Anolis sagrei: one gene and its partner. The protein of the gene in region 1 interacts with the protein of each later gene in a biochemical or structural test. Links are inferred from orthologs where the notes say so. Each region holds a gene or a part of one and is shown on either strand. Other genes may lie near its edges.

Region 1 (8,505 bases):
TTCTTCATTTTAATTATTGCATTGTTTGAAGTGTTTTTTTGCACTACAAATAAGATATGTGCAGTGTGCATAGGAATTCATTCATGTTTTTTTTTTTTTCAAATTATAATCCGGCCCTCCAACAGTCTGATGGACTGTGACCAGTCCCTCTGTTTAAAAAGTTGGAGGGCCCCTGGTCTAAAGGAAAGCTATGGTAATTATTGCAAGATCTAAGGTACAACATTAATATGAATTAATTGATATCTTTTGTTGCTACTAAGGGGTTGCAACGTACTTTATCTAAGTTGTTGTTTGTGCTATAACTTTAAGTTGCTGTAAGGTTCAAGGCTGTTTGTGCTACAGCTGTTTCAGTTAATTGAAGAGTTAATTGAGAGTGTTATTTTCATGTGTATAAAGATAGCTACTGTGTGTTTAGCCATTTGCCATTGTGCGTTTATGCTATTGTGCATCTATGCCTCTGTGCCGTTCTGCTTTGTGTAAGCCGGGGACTATGCTGCAGATGTCCTGTGAAGACACAGCCATGAGAAGAGGACAAGGATTCCTGCTTATCTCAGCTGAGTAGTGATATCTCTCAGAAGATATTGTTTCATGTTACTTTTGTGGAAACAGTAATCCTGCTACTTTGTTTTTGTATGCTGCTAATACTACAATATTTTCTTTTCTACTTTAAGCCGAAGTCTCGTGTGTTTTTCTTTTATGAGTAATTTCATCACACACACAGTTAACTGGGCTACAGTCAGTCTGCATGCTACTCATGCTAACGCATGACATCTTTGATTTTTGTTGTGCCATTAACTATTGAATTGTTGTTTAATGAAATATATAAGAATTAAAGGGGCAATAGGCATTCCTGGGCTAACTTTTCCAATTCCATGGAATGTGTTCATATCTGCTTTCTTTTACTGGCTGCAGAGGAAAGATTTTGTTAGGGGGGGATTAATAAGGTTACTGTAGCACAATGAGCAATTCTCCAAGTCTCCAGGAAAGGTCATGGTCACTTTAAAAACCCACTTTTATTTAGGGATGCTGACATTTAAAAGTTCCCCAGAAAGACATTTTATGTCCTACATTTTTATAATCCCTTCCATCCTACTGTATGTGGTTTAACTTCTTCATAGATATGCTAGGACATTCAGGATATATTAACGTGGCTTTTAGAACATTTCACGTTTCTGTGAAAAACACTGAGTGTATATACATTTACCACCATTCAGAAATCCAATTAGATTACATAAACATTTTTAAATGTTGTAAAGACTTTTAAAAAAGCTTTTGAAAGCTACTTATGAATAGTGGCAAAATCTTAACAAATTCACACGTGACTTGATGGACCTTGAACAAAATCTGTTAAAGCTTTTCTGTGGACCCAATTATTTGTGAAGTACAGTATACAGTATTTTTAAAGAAGCTATAGAGAACAAATGAACATAATTTACCCAATGTCAAATTCTTGTAGGTTTGTTTTTATGGAGAGGGAAAGCACATGCAACATAAATGGGCCGGCAGAACATTGGATAAGCAAAAATGTTGAATAATGAAGGATTATGGAAAACCCTTTTAAACATAAAACTATGTTATGATTTCACAAATTAAGCACCAAAACATCGTGTTTTATAACAAATCAACAAAAAAGTAGTTCAATACATGGTAACGTTATGTAGTAATTACTGTATTTATGAATTTAGCACCAAAACATTGTAATGCATTGAAACATCTGTGGATCTGGGCAGGAGGCAGACTGCATTGGATAATACAAAACATTGGATGAGCAAAGATTGGATAAGCAAACCTCTACTATACCTGTATTAACTAGGCCTGGGTAACAACGGAAAAATTTGTTTCTAAAATCGATTTGTATTTGGGGTTTTTTTTTGTTTTGATATTTAAAATAATTACAAAATTTTCCCTTAAAAAAGTTCGATATTTACGAAATTTCGTAAATGTGAAAAAAATTACAAAACATTAACGAATCGATTTCCGAAACAATAACGAATCGATTCGTTAATGGCGGACGCGACCGCGAAATACGCTAAAAAACCTCCAAAAACTTCTGAAGCTTCCCTCTCCCTCTGTTGTTGACTGTTGGTGTGATATTATAATTTTTTTTCACTAATTAAACAAAAAACTTGCCCCAGACATGCGGAAATAATAACGAAACGACCTCAGAACAATAACGAAACGAATACAATAACGAAATACGAAGCATTTACAAAACGTGTTTAAAAATTTGTTTTTTTAAAAAATTGCTCCAGAATGGTTTGTTATCGTTTTGTAATTGAAAAAATTAACGAATTATTAACGAATTATGAATTAACGAAACAAAACCGCCCAGCCCTAGTATTAACATGCATAATGAGATATTTTGGAGATAGGGCTGAAATCTAAACACAAAATAAATAGCTGGAAGGCAATTTTATACAATACTTTAATAATTTCTGCATGAAACAGAGTTTGTATCCACTGAACCACCAGAAAGCAAAGGCTGCCCATGTAGACAAGATCATATTTTGGAATATTTTGATTTTCAGATTTCCAAATAAGGGATAATCAGCCTGTCATATGTACTATCATAAAAGAAGTGTAGAATTAGACTAGAATTCTGTAAACCAGGGTTCAGATCCCTTCTCATCTACAAAACTCCAGTGTGTGGCCTTGAGCAAGTCATACCATTTCATGCTCAGATGAAAGCAATGCCAGTTCTCCCCTCCAAAGAAATCTTACCAAGAGAATCTTATGATAGGTTTATTTAAGGATTGCCATAAATTGGAAATAAAGAAACAATATGTTGGCTTAGTAATAGCTGCAGCATGTTTCAGAATTTGGAACTATGTTTAGAAAGACAGGTTTGAATATAGTATCATTCACTCTGAAATATGTCTTTCTTCATTATCTTGACTGATGCTTCTTTGAGGTATATTTTGATAACTCTATCCATCTCTCAGTGTTTTGCATACAGAGTGGGGAGAGTAAAAAAGATTTCACCAACTGCTGTCACATCCCCCACAGAGTTCCTTTCATGCAAAGGCTTAGCTATCTTCTTTTATGAGAAGGGGAATGTTCTAGACATGTAACAAAAATCCCCAGATATGTATAAAGTGATGCCCATGACAAGAATAGGGAGTTTGTTACATTCAGCAAACAGAGTGCATGCTTACCTTGTTTGAACTTATCGCTAAGAAAGAGGGAGACAATACTATCACTAAATTACAGGCAAACTGTAATCATATCATTCATTTTCATGTGCATAACTGTTATATGTCCATGTGTGCTAGGCAAACATATAGAATATATAGGCAGTCCCCAAGTTACAAACAAGATAGGTTCTGTTGGTTTGTTCTTAAGTTGAATTTGTATTCAAGTCAGAACAGGTGAATTTTGTAACCCCAGCCATATACATTCATCTGTCTGTCTGTGTGTCTGTCTGTAAGCTTTGGATAGCATAGGGAAGGGTGAACATGCCTGTGGTATTTGTTTTGCTGTCTGTGCCCCTGTTTAGAAGATTTCACCTCACTTTCACCTATGAGAATTGGATTTTGGGGAAAAATGGCTTGTTTTAGAAACAAGGTTTGTTGATAGAGCTTCAGTGGAGACACCTTTTCCCCATGGTAATTCATTCAGGAGTAAGTTTCCCTTCTGAGGGGTAGATTTATCTCACTTCCTTTAGTGTCACGATGCCAAGGCTCTGCCGTTATTTCCAGCAGAGGTGAATCAAACAAACACCCAGTTTGTATTAAACAATTTTAATACTGCAAAACATGATACATGACATTTAGTCTCACAGAGGTGAGACTAAGGGCCCTTCCACACAACTATATAACCCAGAATGTCAAGGCAGAAAACCCCACAATATCTGATTTGTACTGGGATATCTGAATCCACACTGCCATGTATTCCAGTTCAAAGCAGAAAATGTAGGATTTTATTCAGCTGTGTGGAAGGGGCCTAACTATAAGTCATTTGTAAGTCAGATGTTTGTTACTTGGGGTCTGCCTGTACATGTTTCTGCTTCCTCCTTCTTCTATATTCCCTGCATTTAAGAACGTATGCCTATAGACAACATTCAAATGTTTAAGTTTCAGCACTATTGTTCTCCTCGGTTTTATCCATTTTTTTCTAAGGTTTGTAGTAAATAATAAATAGAATTATTTTACTTAGGTCCTGCTGTAGGGCCACTTATTAGAATATTACGTATACTGTGACATCAGGGTGGTAAATCTATAAGTTGTTTACTAGGCTGGCATGCTGAGTTTTTAATAAGTTGACGGGCAACTTGAAAGCTCATATACATACACATATTTAAAGAACAGATTAATTCTCAGATGAGTTGAGCTCTGTTGGTGTCTTCCTGGAAAGGACACTCTTCAATGTTATAAAATTGACTTAGGAATAGTGGCTCAACTAGCAATATATATACACACGCGCGCACACACATACTTTATTTTCATTATCCCTGTGGTAAATTACTGTGGCTGAAGAGTCTTTCTTATCTGGCAGAAGTATTAGTCACTGGACCCTGGGTCCTTCCATTTACAGTTTCAGTCCCTTCAAGGATGCTAAAAGAAGGGCAGAAATCCTAAACTCTGCTAAATGACTGAGGGGAAAAGCAAACTTTATGGTTTATCAACATTCCCTTTAAGAAGCTCCACATTTTGATGTAGTTTACAAGCCTGAATGTCAGGTCTGAACCGCAGAAAGCCATACTTCTACAAAGGAGATGGGGTGGTTTCTTGTGGTTTCTGTCTGAGCCATTGATTTTGTAAAGCTCTCTAAAAGCACATGACCTCTTAAACGTATCTTGTTTCTAGATGGCAGAATAATGGAATATGATTGGTCTCCAAGCACTTATTGCTGGTCTTTTTTCCCAGTGTCTGTGTCACTGTCATGCTCACACACTTTCCTTAGCTATTTTTGTGTCTGCCTCCTTTCCCTGGTGAAGAACCTCAGCTGTTGTCCTTCTGAAAAAATACCAATAGCAAAGCTGCCTCTGGCTGGCTCAATGAAGAATATAGAGACAGTGGCTACATTTCTGTACCTCTAAAGATCATGGAGAGAGAGTTCCCTGGAGAAGAAATTCAGCAGACCCTTGGTCTTCCCTGGGACACCGACAAGGTCACAGAGGATGAAGAGAAGCAGCTTTGTCAGTGAGTAATAATATATCATTTTGCAAAGCTCCTTCATCATTTCTGCACAATGATATAATCGGTTTGAGCTCTATGTGGAGGCATAGAAAAATGGCATTTGGCCCTTTGACATTCAATGCAACTGCTGATTTGTATAGCTAGAGGTAATATTGTTGTGCACCAGCAAATACTTCTGTTTCTATGCAGGATGTATGATATATATTAAGTGTGAAGAAAAGTAAAGTTGAGTACTGCTAATTCATGCACTTGTATTGCAGTATGATATGACTCTCTCTTATTTCCCCCCCCCCCCCCAACCTATCAGCATAAGCTATATGCCTTCATTATTAGTCCAGAGGCAACTTGAAGACAATATAAAATTGTTTTATATTGATGTGTAAGGGATACTGTCTGTACGTTTTAAATATCCAGGATAACCTAATGTCATGTAATGCCAAAGTGAAGCTGAACGGTCAGCAAATTGTCAGAGTAATAATATCGGAATGTCAACTTTCCTTACCTTTTAATTGCATTTTTTGAAAAGATTAAATGTTATTAAAATTCCAAAAATCAAGAGAAATAGCTGATCTGGCTTTCAAATGGGTTAAATATTGAAAATGGCACTGTATTTATTTGTTCTACAAATACACACACACACACACACACACACACACACACACACTGATGGGTTTTTTTTAACCACAGCAGTAGAAATGAATGAAAATAATTTAAATAAAAAACAAATTAATAAAGAGGATGTAAAATATTTGCTCCTCTCATTTTGCTAACTGTTCTATTCGCCATAACTGTGGCATCTTCTCTTTGTTGCCAGCAGAAGTATAATGACATAAGGCAGAAGAACTAATTAAATGACTAATAAACAGTTTTAGGTTATATTGAAAAATAGCGCCATTTTATTTATTTATCTGTTCTTATCAGTATGACTTCCATTTTAGAGGGGCAATGCTTTTTCTCCAGGTTTCAGTCCAGACTTTAAAACAGTTATCCAAATATTATTTTGATGATAGGCAGCAGCTCAGTTAGCTCCTTTAAAATCTCATTCAAAATCTGGAGTGGGTTCAGTGCACCACTGACATGGACAGTACTGCCAGCTACTCCTTTTTTTCCCCATGCTTCTTCCAAAAACTCAATGGTAGATCTGTCAAAAATTCCCCCCTTTTCACCTACATATCTCTGAATATTTGTAGTCCAGAAAAATAACATTTCCAAGCTTCAAAAAAGCAATATTCCTGGCTTTCCTCTAGCACATTCTGTTAGGGTTCCTTGTTGTTTATTCATTCAGTTGCTTCCATCTCTTTGTGATTTCATGGACCAGCCCATGCCAGAGCTCCCTGTTGCCCATCACCACCATCAGCTCCTTCAAAGTCAAGCCAGTCACTTCAAAGATACCACCCATCCCTCTTGCCCTTGGATGGCCCTCTTTCTTTTTCCTTCAATTTTCCCCAACATTATTGTCTTCTCTAAGCTTTCCTGTCTACTCATGATGTGGTCAAAGTACTTCATCTTTGTCTCTAATACCCTTTCCTCCAATGAGCAGCTGGGCTTTATTTACTGAAATGTGGACTGGTTGGATCTTCTGTCAGTCCAAGGCACCCTTAAGGAAGTGTGATTGGTCCAAAACCACACATTCTGGGATTTTTGTCACAGCACACCAATTTAAAACTGGCCCGTCTTCCTCTAAGCCAGGTATTCTGTCTGCAACACCATCATTTGCTGAGATAGCATAATATTCAGGTTTCTACCCTTTCCATTAAAGAACTTCAGTTGCACTGCTTTCCCTTATCTGCTCTTCTAGAATTGGTTTTTAAATGAATGCTACAACCATGACTTCATCCTTAACCTTTTTTCTCCACTTGTCAGGAGGCTTTTCCACAAAGCTCCTCAGAAGACAGCCTTTCCACAATGCCACCTAAGTTCACACTGCCTTTTGCATGCTGCTCTTGCCAGGCAGCAGATGCATAGCAAGAATGCAGAATATATTTTTAAGAGCTGTTTGCCACTTGTTCAGCAGTGCCAGCCATACTCAAGGAAGACACAAAGGCACCAAGGCTGGAAAAGAGACAAATTACAAGATCCCCTAGCTCATTTGTCCAGAACAGGGAACTTCTGTAAGTTTTGCTAAGGCAGCAGTTTCTTTGGTCTCCAAGGGTCCATCTCCATTGGCAAATTTCCCATTCTCTTGCAGTGTTTCTATACTTGTGCATATGCAGACTGAGGAAATTGTCTGATGATTGCTGTAAAGGGATCACTTGGCCATTTCAGCAATGGCTGCTCCTTGGTAGAACAGTGGATGTTTTTGTTTTTGTCATCATCATCATCATCATCATCATCATCATCATCATCATAATCATCATCAATTTACTGCCACTAATGTGCATGATGATTTACAAGTAAACCCTCCCCCCCTCCAAAAAAAAAAACAATGGACTTTGCCAAAAGTGTACATATAAAAGCAGCTCCCAAGTTATGAGCAAGATAGCTTCTGTAGGTTTGTTTTTATGTTGAATTTGTAAGTCAGAACAGGTACATTTTTAAAGTGTAACTCCAGTCAGATAAATAGGAGGATAGATAAGCTTTGCATAGTATAGGAAAGGATTAACACCCATGTGATATTTCTTTTCCTGTCCTTGACCCTGTTGAGAAGATTTCACCTCAATTTCTGTCCCTGTTATAATTAGGTTTTGAAAAATGGGGCTAGTTATGGAAACAAGGATTGGTGATAAAGCTTCAGTTGAGACACCTTTTCCCTCTAATAACTCTTTTAGGAGTGAATTCCCTTTCTGGGGGTAGATTTCTCTCATTACTGGTTGTCTCACCCCCGTTCTTAACTATGAGTCATTTGTAAGTCAGATGTTTGTAACTTGGGGACTGCCTATACACAGAAAGGGAAGGAATGAATAACAAAGCTAAAGCACTTCACAGCAGCTATCCAAGGTTCTGAATCCCCCCCCCCCCCCCGCACTCATCACCCTGGTTAGAAGATAGAACTAAAACTAATAGCAGTTTCAATGCCACCAAGTCCCTCTTGGCATTTTAATACTGTTCTTCCTAGATAACAGGGACTCTGAATTTCATGCCAGTCTCCCTGAAGTCTAGCCCGTATTCATCTGTTGGAGGTCCAAGATTTAAGTCTAGTTCGTGGGCTGGGGTTAGGACTTTTAGTTCTGCTTAAAACCTGGAACTCCACTGACATGGGAAGACCCACCATCCTTGAATATATCCCTTTGGCTGTAATAATCAGATATTTTAACAGCCTTCAGAATAGAATAGAATAGAATAGAATAGAACAGAATAGAATAGCTTTTCACTGTGTTTTATAATAAAATTTAATTTATATCCCACCCTATCTCCCTGGGGGACTCAG
Region 2 (8,228 bases), on another chromosome or scaffold:
CAGATGATAATTTTGTCAGCGCTGATTGTGTTTAAGTACAAGCCAAGGTCTTTAGGCATTGCACCCAGTGTGCCGATCACCACTCCGACCACCTTTACTGGTTTCTGCCAGAGTCTTTGCTGTTCGATTTTTAAATCCCTATATCGTGTCAGCTTTTCCAGTTCACATCGATGATCCATACGTTGTTTTTTAACACTATTGTGAGGTCAGGAGTATTATGCTCCTAAACTCTCTTTCTGAATTCGGAAGTCCCAGAGGAGTTTGGCGTGTTCATTCTCTGTAACTCTTTCCGGCTTGTGATCCCACCACTTCTTTGTCGCAGGCAGATGGTATTTGTGATACAAGTTCCAATGAATCATCTGAGCAATGGTGTTGTGCCTCTGCTTGTAGTCTGTCTGTGCGATCTTCTTGCAGCAGCTGAGGATGTGATCTATTATTATCATTGTTGTTGTTGCTCTGCTTTTTCTCTGCCAAAAGGTCTCAAAGCAACAAACATAAATAGGATTAAGGCAGTTTGATGCTGCTTATTTCTATTGTTATTGTTATTATTTCTCTGCCAAAAGAGACACAAAAAAGCTCATTTTTGGAGGCTTTTAAACAGAGGCTGGATGGCCATCTCTGATGGTGCAGTGGGTTATGCCACTGAGCTGCTGAACTTGCTGACTGAAAGGTTGGCGGTTCGAATCTGGGGAGCGACGTGAGCTCCCGCTGTTAGCCCCAGCTTCTGCCAACCTAGCAGTTCAAAAACATGCAAATGTGAGTAGATCAAAAAGTAGCACTTTGGCGGGAAGGTAACAGCTCTCTATGCAGTCATGCTAGCCATATGAACGTGGAGGTGTCTATGGACAACGTCGGCTCTTCGGCTTGGAAATGGAGATGAGCATCACCGCCCTGAGTCAGACACGACTAGACTTAATGTCAGGGGAAACCTTTACTATTATAATATTTGCATTCCTTCAAGTCAAGTAAAACACAAGTAGCAGGCATAGATAAAAAAAATAAGAATTCAAAGCCATACAAAAATCATTAGTACTAATAAAAGTTAAGTTTTACAATTGCATCCCTTTATAAAAAGTGGCAGATGACTTTGGAAATTGTCTTTTGGGGTGTTTTTCAGGCTGTGGACAGTGGGATCTTATACGTTGCACTCGTTATTGTATTTATATCCACTCTTTCCCTTCCTCCAAAGTGACTCAAAGCAGTTTACAAAACACAGCACAACAAATAAATACAAAGGGTTGTTGTAGGTTTTTTCGGTCTGTTTGGCCATGGTCTAGAGGCATTCTCTCCTGATGTTTTGCCTGCATCTATGACAAGCATCCTCAGAGGTAGTGAGGTCTGTTGGAACTCAAATAAAATGCTGTATTTGAGAACACAGAAATGCTGGACCACTCTCACAACCACCATGTCAGACTACACAGAAGCCATTGAAATACACAAGCATGTGGACAATTTCAACAGAAAGGAGGAAACCATGAAAATGAACAAAATTTGGCTACCAGTATTAAAAAAAACTAAAATTGCAACAGCACAACAACAGAGTAAGCAGGCAGGGACATCTAATTACCTCTCAACAAAAGCTTGCTCCAGGCACAGTCAACAAAAGCTTGCTCCAGACACAGTCAGGCCATTGTATGCTACTCAAGGTGGTCAGTTGAAACATTCACACCTAGCTCCAGCAGACAAGAGTCCTTTGTCTCACCCTGGTGATTCCACAGATATATAAACCCTTTTTCCTAGTTCCAACAGACCTCACTACCTCTGAGGATGCTTGCCATAGATGCAGGCGAAACGTCAGGAGAGAATGCTTCTAGACTATGCCCATACAGCCCGAAAAAACGTACAACAACCCAGTGATTCCGGCCATGAAAGCCTTCGACAATACAATAAATACAAACCTGATTGGAAAACACCCACAAAGTTGTGATTAAAAATAACATTGAAACTCTGGAATGGTGGGGGGGAAAGCAAATAAAAGTAACCCCATCCTGAAAGCCTGCTGGAAGAAGAAAGCGGTGTTCTCCTGGAAGCAAACCTTGGAGGGATTTATAGTTCATTGTCAACAGTAAGTTGCATTGGACCAATTCTTGGATTCATGGGATGCAGATAACTGGAAGGGAGAACTAATGCTTCAGGAAACAGAGTCAGGATCCAGAACGCTATGAAACATGTTTTCCCGGGTTATAAATGTCATTTCCTAATTGGTTATATCCTAAAATCATGGAAAAAATGTATTAAACTGCAAAAACTTGGTTGCGGAAGGGACATCCTGCAGAAAAATGTTCCGTCCCCAGTTTGAAAGTGGGACTTCCTGTTTAATTGTGTGGTCCTTACTTGGAAAGGAGTTGATCTACTCTTTTCCAAGTAAAAGTTTGTTTTTGTGTGCTTCAGACTATCTTGGCTCGGTTGAGACTCAATGAGAGATTCATGGAAAAACGAGAGCCAAATGTACTGCGGGATGTCTTGCAAAAACAAACCTTTTGCTATTTAATAAACTTTTCCCATGTTTTTATGATAGAACCAGTTAGGAAATGACATTGATAACCCAGAAACACAAATCCCTCTTTAACTATTCCATTGCCTGCTTCCTTCCTTCATTCCTTTCTACAAATAAAGTTTTACTACAAATGTTTTATTTCCTCATTCTCTTTCCTTCTTTCTTTCCATCCTTCTTTCTTGCTTTCTTTCTTTTTTTCCTTCCTTCTTTGCTTCCTTTCGCTTTCTTTTATTATCATTCCCTCACTCTTTCCTTCCTTGCTGCTTTCCTTCTTTCCTTCTTTCTTGCCTTCCTTTCTTTGCTTCTTTCTTTTTTTCCTCCCTTCCTCCCATCTTTCTTTCCTATTTTTTCCTTCCTTTCACTTTCTTTCTTTCCTTTATTATCATTCCCTCACTCCTTCCTTCCTTTTTTTCTTCCTTCCTGCCTTCCTGCTTTTTTTTCCCTCCTCCTTACCATCTTTCTCTCCTTTTTTCTTTCTTCCTTCCTTCCTTCCTTTCCTTCTTTTCTTAATTCTTTCTTCCTTCTTTGCTTCCTTCTTTCTTTCCTTTTTTTGTTCCCTCCTTCTTTCATTCTTTCCTTCCTTTCTCCTTTCCTTCCTTCCTTCCTTCTTTGCTTCCTTCTTTCTTTCCTCCCTCCTTCCCATCTTTCTTTCCTGCTTTTTTCCTTCCTTCTTTCGCTTTCTTCCTTTCCTTTATTATCATTCCCTCACTCCTTCCTTCCTTTTTTCTTTCCTTCCTTCCTGCCTTCTTTCTTTCTTTCCCTCCTTCCCATCTTTCTTTCTTTTTTCCTTCCTTCTTTCTCTTTACTTCCTTCATTCCTTTCTTTCCTTCCTTCATTCTTTCTTCCTTCTTTGCTTCCTTCCTTATTTCCTTTTTTTGTTCCCTCCTTCTTTCATTCTTTCCTTCCTTCCTCCTTTCCTTCCTTCCTCCCTTCTTTGCTTCCTTCTTTCTTTCCTCCCTTCTTCCCATTTTTCTTTCTTTCCTGCTTTTTTCCTTCCTTCTTTCGCTTTCTTTCTTTCCTGCTTTTCTTCCTTTCATTTTCTTTCTTTCCTTTATTATCATTCCCTCACACTTTCCTTCCTTCTTTCTTTCCTTCCTTTCTTCTTTGCTTCCATCCTTTTTTCCTTCCTTCTATCTCTTTCCTGCCTTCTTTCTTTCCCTCCTTCTTCCAATCTTTCTTTCCTCTTTTTCCTTCCTTCCTTCTTTCTCTTTCCTTCCTTCCTTTCCTTCCTTTTTTCTTCCTTCTTTGCTTCCTTCCTTTATTCGTTCCCTCCTTCTTTCATTCTTTCCTTCCTTCCTTCTTTGCTTCCTTCTTTCTTTCCTCCCTTCTTCCCATCTTTCTTTCCTGCTTTTTTCCTTCCTTCCTTTCACTTTCTTTCTTTCCTTTATTATCATTCCCTCACTCTTTCCTTCCTTCTTTCTTTTCTTCCTTCCTGCCTTCTTTCTTTCTCTCCTTCCCATCTTTCTTTCCTTTCTTTCCTCCTTTCTATTTACTTCCTTCATTCCTTTCTTTCCTTCCTTCTTTCCTTTTTTTCGTTCCCCCTTCTTTCATTATTTCTTTCCTCCCTTCCTTCTTCCTTTCCTTCCATCTTTCTTTCCTCCCTCCCTTCCTTCCATGTCATAACCATTTAATATCAAGAGTCGTGTATCAAGAGGAGGGGTCTTTTTGGTTGGGAGTCCAGTGTGGTCCCCCCGCCCGGACAGAGGAGCTGGAGGCCGGCCCCTTTTGCCCTGCACTCCTCCTCCTTCTCCTCTTTCGCGTTCCCTTCTTCCTCCCTCCTTCCTTTCCTCCCTCCTTCCTTCCTGCCTGGGGCGGCCCTCTTGGGGACTCTTCGGCCGCCCCTCTGGACCATGAACCGTCGGAAAGGTAAAAGCGGAGTCACTTCGGTTTCAGGGAGGGGCTGTTTACACGGCAGCCCGAAAGTGAACTTTCCCCAACTTTCTCCTCCGAGTTCCTTAACCCTCTTCCTTTCTCCCTAATAGAGAGGCGTTTCTCTCTTTCCTTTGGACTCTTAACTATCAAGCTTTCAGGCAGAAGCCCAACCGGTGCAGCACTTCCTCCTTTTTCTTTAGAATCTACTCTAGTAGCTTCATGCAGACATTCAACAGGAGCAGCTCTTCTTTCTTTTCTTCTAAATGCATTGCTTAAAAAATACCTCTGAACATAGAATCTCTCCCATCCTTCTCCTCTTTATTCTTCAGGCCTGGCTCTAAAAGTATTTACTTGTTGAGCTTCAGGCAGAAGTTCAACAGGTCTAGCTCTTCCTTCTTTGCATTGCTTGTAAAGATCCTACAATCCCTCCCTTCCTCCTACCTGGGTTAGTGACAAGCCCTCAACGATGAATTGATTGATTTCAGGCTGAATCCCAACCGGTGCAGCACATCCTTCTTTTTGTTTACTAGTTGCATTCCTCGAAAATCCCATAGAGAGAGCATTGAAGCTCTCCCTTCTGGGTTTGTGCTTCTCTGTCCATCAGAGCTGGCCCTGAGCTCTTATTGAATTTCAGGCAGAAGCTCAACAGGTGCAAACTTTTCTTCTTTGCATTGCTTGAAAAAAGACCCTACAATCCTTCCCTTCCTCCTACCTGGGTTAGTGACAAGCCCTCAATGATGAATTAATTGATTTCAGGCTGAAGACCAACCGGTGTAGCACATCCTTCTTTTTGTTTACTAGTTGCATTCCTCGAAAGTCCCATAGATAGAGCATTGAAGCTCTCCCTTCTGGGTTTGTGCTTCTCTGTCCAACAGAGCTGGCCCTGAGCTCTTACTGAATTTCAGGCAGAAGCTCAACAGGTGCAAACTTTTCTTCTTTCTTTCTACACCACCTGAAATCCCAACAGAGCATAGAATCACTTCCTTTTTGTTGTTGTTGTTCCTTTCAGTTCTTCAGGACTGGCTCTGAACTATTAAACATTGAATCTCAGGCAGAAGTTCAACAGGTGCAGCACTTTCTACTTGCTTCATAGCTGGGATTCGCCATAGAGAAGAACTTTCTGAACTTTTCATGACATGCTTTTGTGGTATGCATCCTTCCGCGACACGGTCATTCTGTTTTACTAGCAAACCAAAGGGTTGGAGCCCTGGTGGCGCAGTGGGTTAAACCCCTGTGCCGGAAGGACTAAAGACCAACCAGTCGCAGGTTCAAATCCGGGGAGAGGAGGATGAGCTCCCTCTATCAGCTCCAGCTCCTCATACGGGGACATGAGAGAAGCCTCCCACAAGGATGATAAAAACATCAAATCATCCGGGCGTTCCCTGGGCAACGTCCTTGCCGACGGCCTATTCTCTCACACCAGAAGCGACTTGCAGTTTCTCAAGTCGCTCCTGACACGACAAAAAAACCCCCAAAAAACAAAACAAAACCAAAGGGTTAAACCAACCATTTATAATAATCATTATTATTATTTACTTTATTTGTATACCACCCCTCTCAGCCTTGCGGCGACTCGAGGCAGTTTACAGGGCAAAATTCAATGCCACAAAATACAAAAAATATATATATTAAAACATTAACATCAATAAAATCATAACAATAGCAGTAAAACATAAGTCAGTAAATCTCTATATAAATAAAAATGTAATGTTCATTTGTGGGATTAACATAACTCAAAAACCACTGGACGAATTGACACCAAATTTGGATACAAGACACCTATCAGGCCAACGAGTGACCATCACTCATAAAAACACCAAAAAACACTGCGACAAAACAACTACAACCCTAAAAGGCTGTTAGGAAGGCTGTTAGGAATTGTGGGAGTTGGAGTCCAAAACCCCTGGAGGGCCAAAGTCTGCCGCTACCTGGTCTACACCATTGAATTATTCCACAGCATTGAGCCATGGTAGTTAAAGGGGTCCCATAGGCCATCCAGCCCAACCACTTTTTACAGCAAAGGAAGACACCATCAAAGCCCTCCCAACAGATGGCCATCCAGTTGGAAAGGAGCCTCAAAGGCCATCCAGTCCAACCAGGCCCGCAGCCAGGATGTTGATTCAGGGGGAGCTGAGTTTGATTCGGGGGGAGGGGGGTGAGTCTGAGTGAAAGAGGGTCTACCCTAGCAAACCTTTTGTATCATTACCCCAATACCCCCATGCATATGGGATATATTGAGTATGGTGATCAGATCATGATATGAATAAACATAACAGTTTAAATAATGTACCAGTAAGGCCTTTTCGCAGACCACCATGAGAATTTGGGGGGGGGGGGGCTGAAGCCCCTCCCCCGGCTGCATGCCTGAGTCCAACCTCATTGGGCGGTAAAAGAAGACACAATCAACACCTACCCGACAGAAGGCCAACCAGTTGGAAGGGAGCCCAAAGGCCATCCAGTCCAACCCCCTTTGGCCCTTAAATATGTGTGTCTGTCTGTCTGACCATCCATCCATCTACCTACCTATCTATGTTCTATCTATCTACCTTCTTTTCCATCTATCAGTGTCCCTTCCATATGCCTCTTCTGTCTATTGTTTCATGCCTGAAATTCCTCTGTTTTCTGAGGGCCACAGCAACCTGTGGCAGGGGACGGCTAGTCTACACAAATAAAAATGTAATGTTCGTTTGTGGGATTAACATAACTCCAAAACCACTGGACGAATCGACACCAAATTTGGACACAAGACACCTCTCATGCCAATAAATGACAATCACTCATAAAACACTGAAAAACACAGCAGAAGTGACTTTAAATGCCACCCCCCCCCCAAAAAAATACATTACAATGCATGTGCGAAATCACATCTATACACAAACACACAAAAATAGACACAAACATACAAACATACATATATATACACACACAAAATACATATACACAGACTGGGCCACAGCAACGTGTGGCAGGGGACGGCTAGTCTATATAAATAAAAATGCAATGTTTGTTTGTGGGATTAACAGAACTCAAAAACCACTGGACAAATTGTCACCAAATTTGGACACAAGACACCTATCGAGCCAATGAGTGACCATCACTCATAAAAACACTGAAAAATACAGCGGAAGGGACTTAAAAAACAAAAAAAACCAAAAGACACTACAGCGCATGCGCAAAACGACTCCCCCTGGCAAACAAAACACACAACAGCATATCCACACTCTCTTCCAGACTACAGCTCCCAGCATCTTCTAGACCAGCATCCCTTTAGGAGAGGAGGAGGATCCAAATGCACTGCTTCCAAGCTGCAAGCTTTCTTTTCCTTGGATCTCTTTGAGAGCATCCCAATCCCTGCATATTTCCAATTTCCTATTCCTGGACTGCAACTCCCATCAATCCTCCAGATAGATAAGATAGCTAGGATAAAGATAGATTGGTAGGTAGATCAATCAGGAGGACTGCTGGGAGTTGCAGTCCAAGAATAGAGAAGGAAGAAAGAAAAGGGGGAAAGGAAGGGAAGAGGAAGAGAAGGAAGGAAGGAGAGAAGGAAAGAAAATAAGGAAAGGAAGGAGAGTAAGAAAGAAGGAGAGAAAGAGGGAGGGAAGGTTGGCCACAGCAACGTGTGGTGGGTACAGCTAGTATATATATACTCATGCATTCGGACACACAGTTTTGAAAGCTTTGCCATAGAACCACTTCCATCATTTTGGAAGCAGGAGAGCCCGACACAACTTTAATATTATGAACAACTTCTTTCCTGCCTTGGGTGTTTGCTTCCCTTTGGCCCCAACAAAAAAAGGATTTCTTCCAGGCGGAGCTCCTTCTTGTTTAGATCACAACTCCCAGAATCCCACCTCCT

Evidence for each region. The genes of interacting proteins can lie anywhere in the genome.
Region 2: the proteins of FRMPD4 (region 1) and DLG3 interact in a test that uses a peptide from one of them, tested with the Homo sapiens proteins (2 studies listed by IntAct, with this or other methods). The link is inferred for Anolis sagrei from reciprocal best matches to the Homo sapiens genes FRMPD4 and DLG3.

Annotation. Positions count from the first base shown.
Region 1 is NC_090023.1:92,545,638-92,554,142, reverse strand, and holds the start of FRMPD4 (FERM and PDZ domain-containing protein 4), read left to right. Parts: upstream 1-4,977; 5' UTR 4,978-5,043; coding exon 5,044-5,141; intron 5,142-8,505. UniProt on the Homo sapiens protein: Positive regulator of dendritic spine morphogenesis and density. Required for the maintenance of excitatory synaptic transmission. Binds phosphatidylinositol 4,5-bisphosphate.
Region 2 is NC_090030.1:21,587,815-21,596,042, forward strand, and holds the start of DLG3 (disks large homolog 3), read left to right. Parts: upstream 1-4,258; 5' UTR 4,259-4,347; coding exon of another isoform or gene 4,348-4,363; intron 4,364-8,228. UniProt on the Homo sapiens protein: Required for learning most likely through its role in synaptic plasticity following NMDA receptor signaling.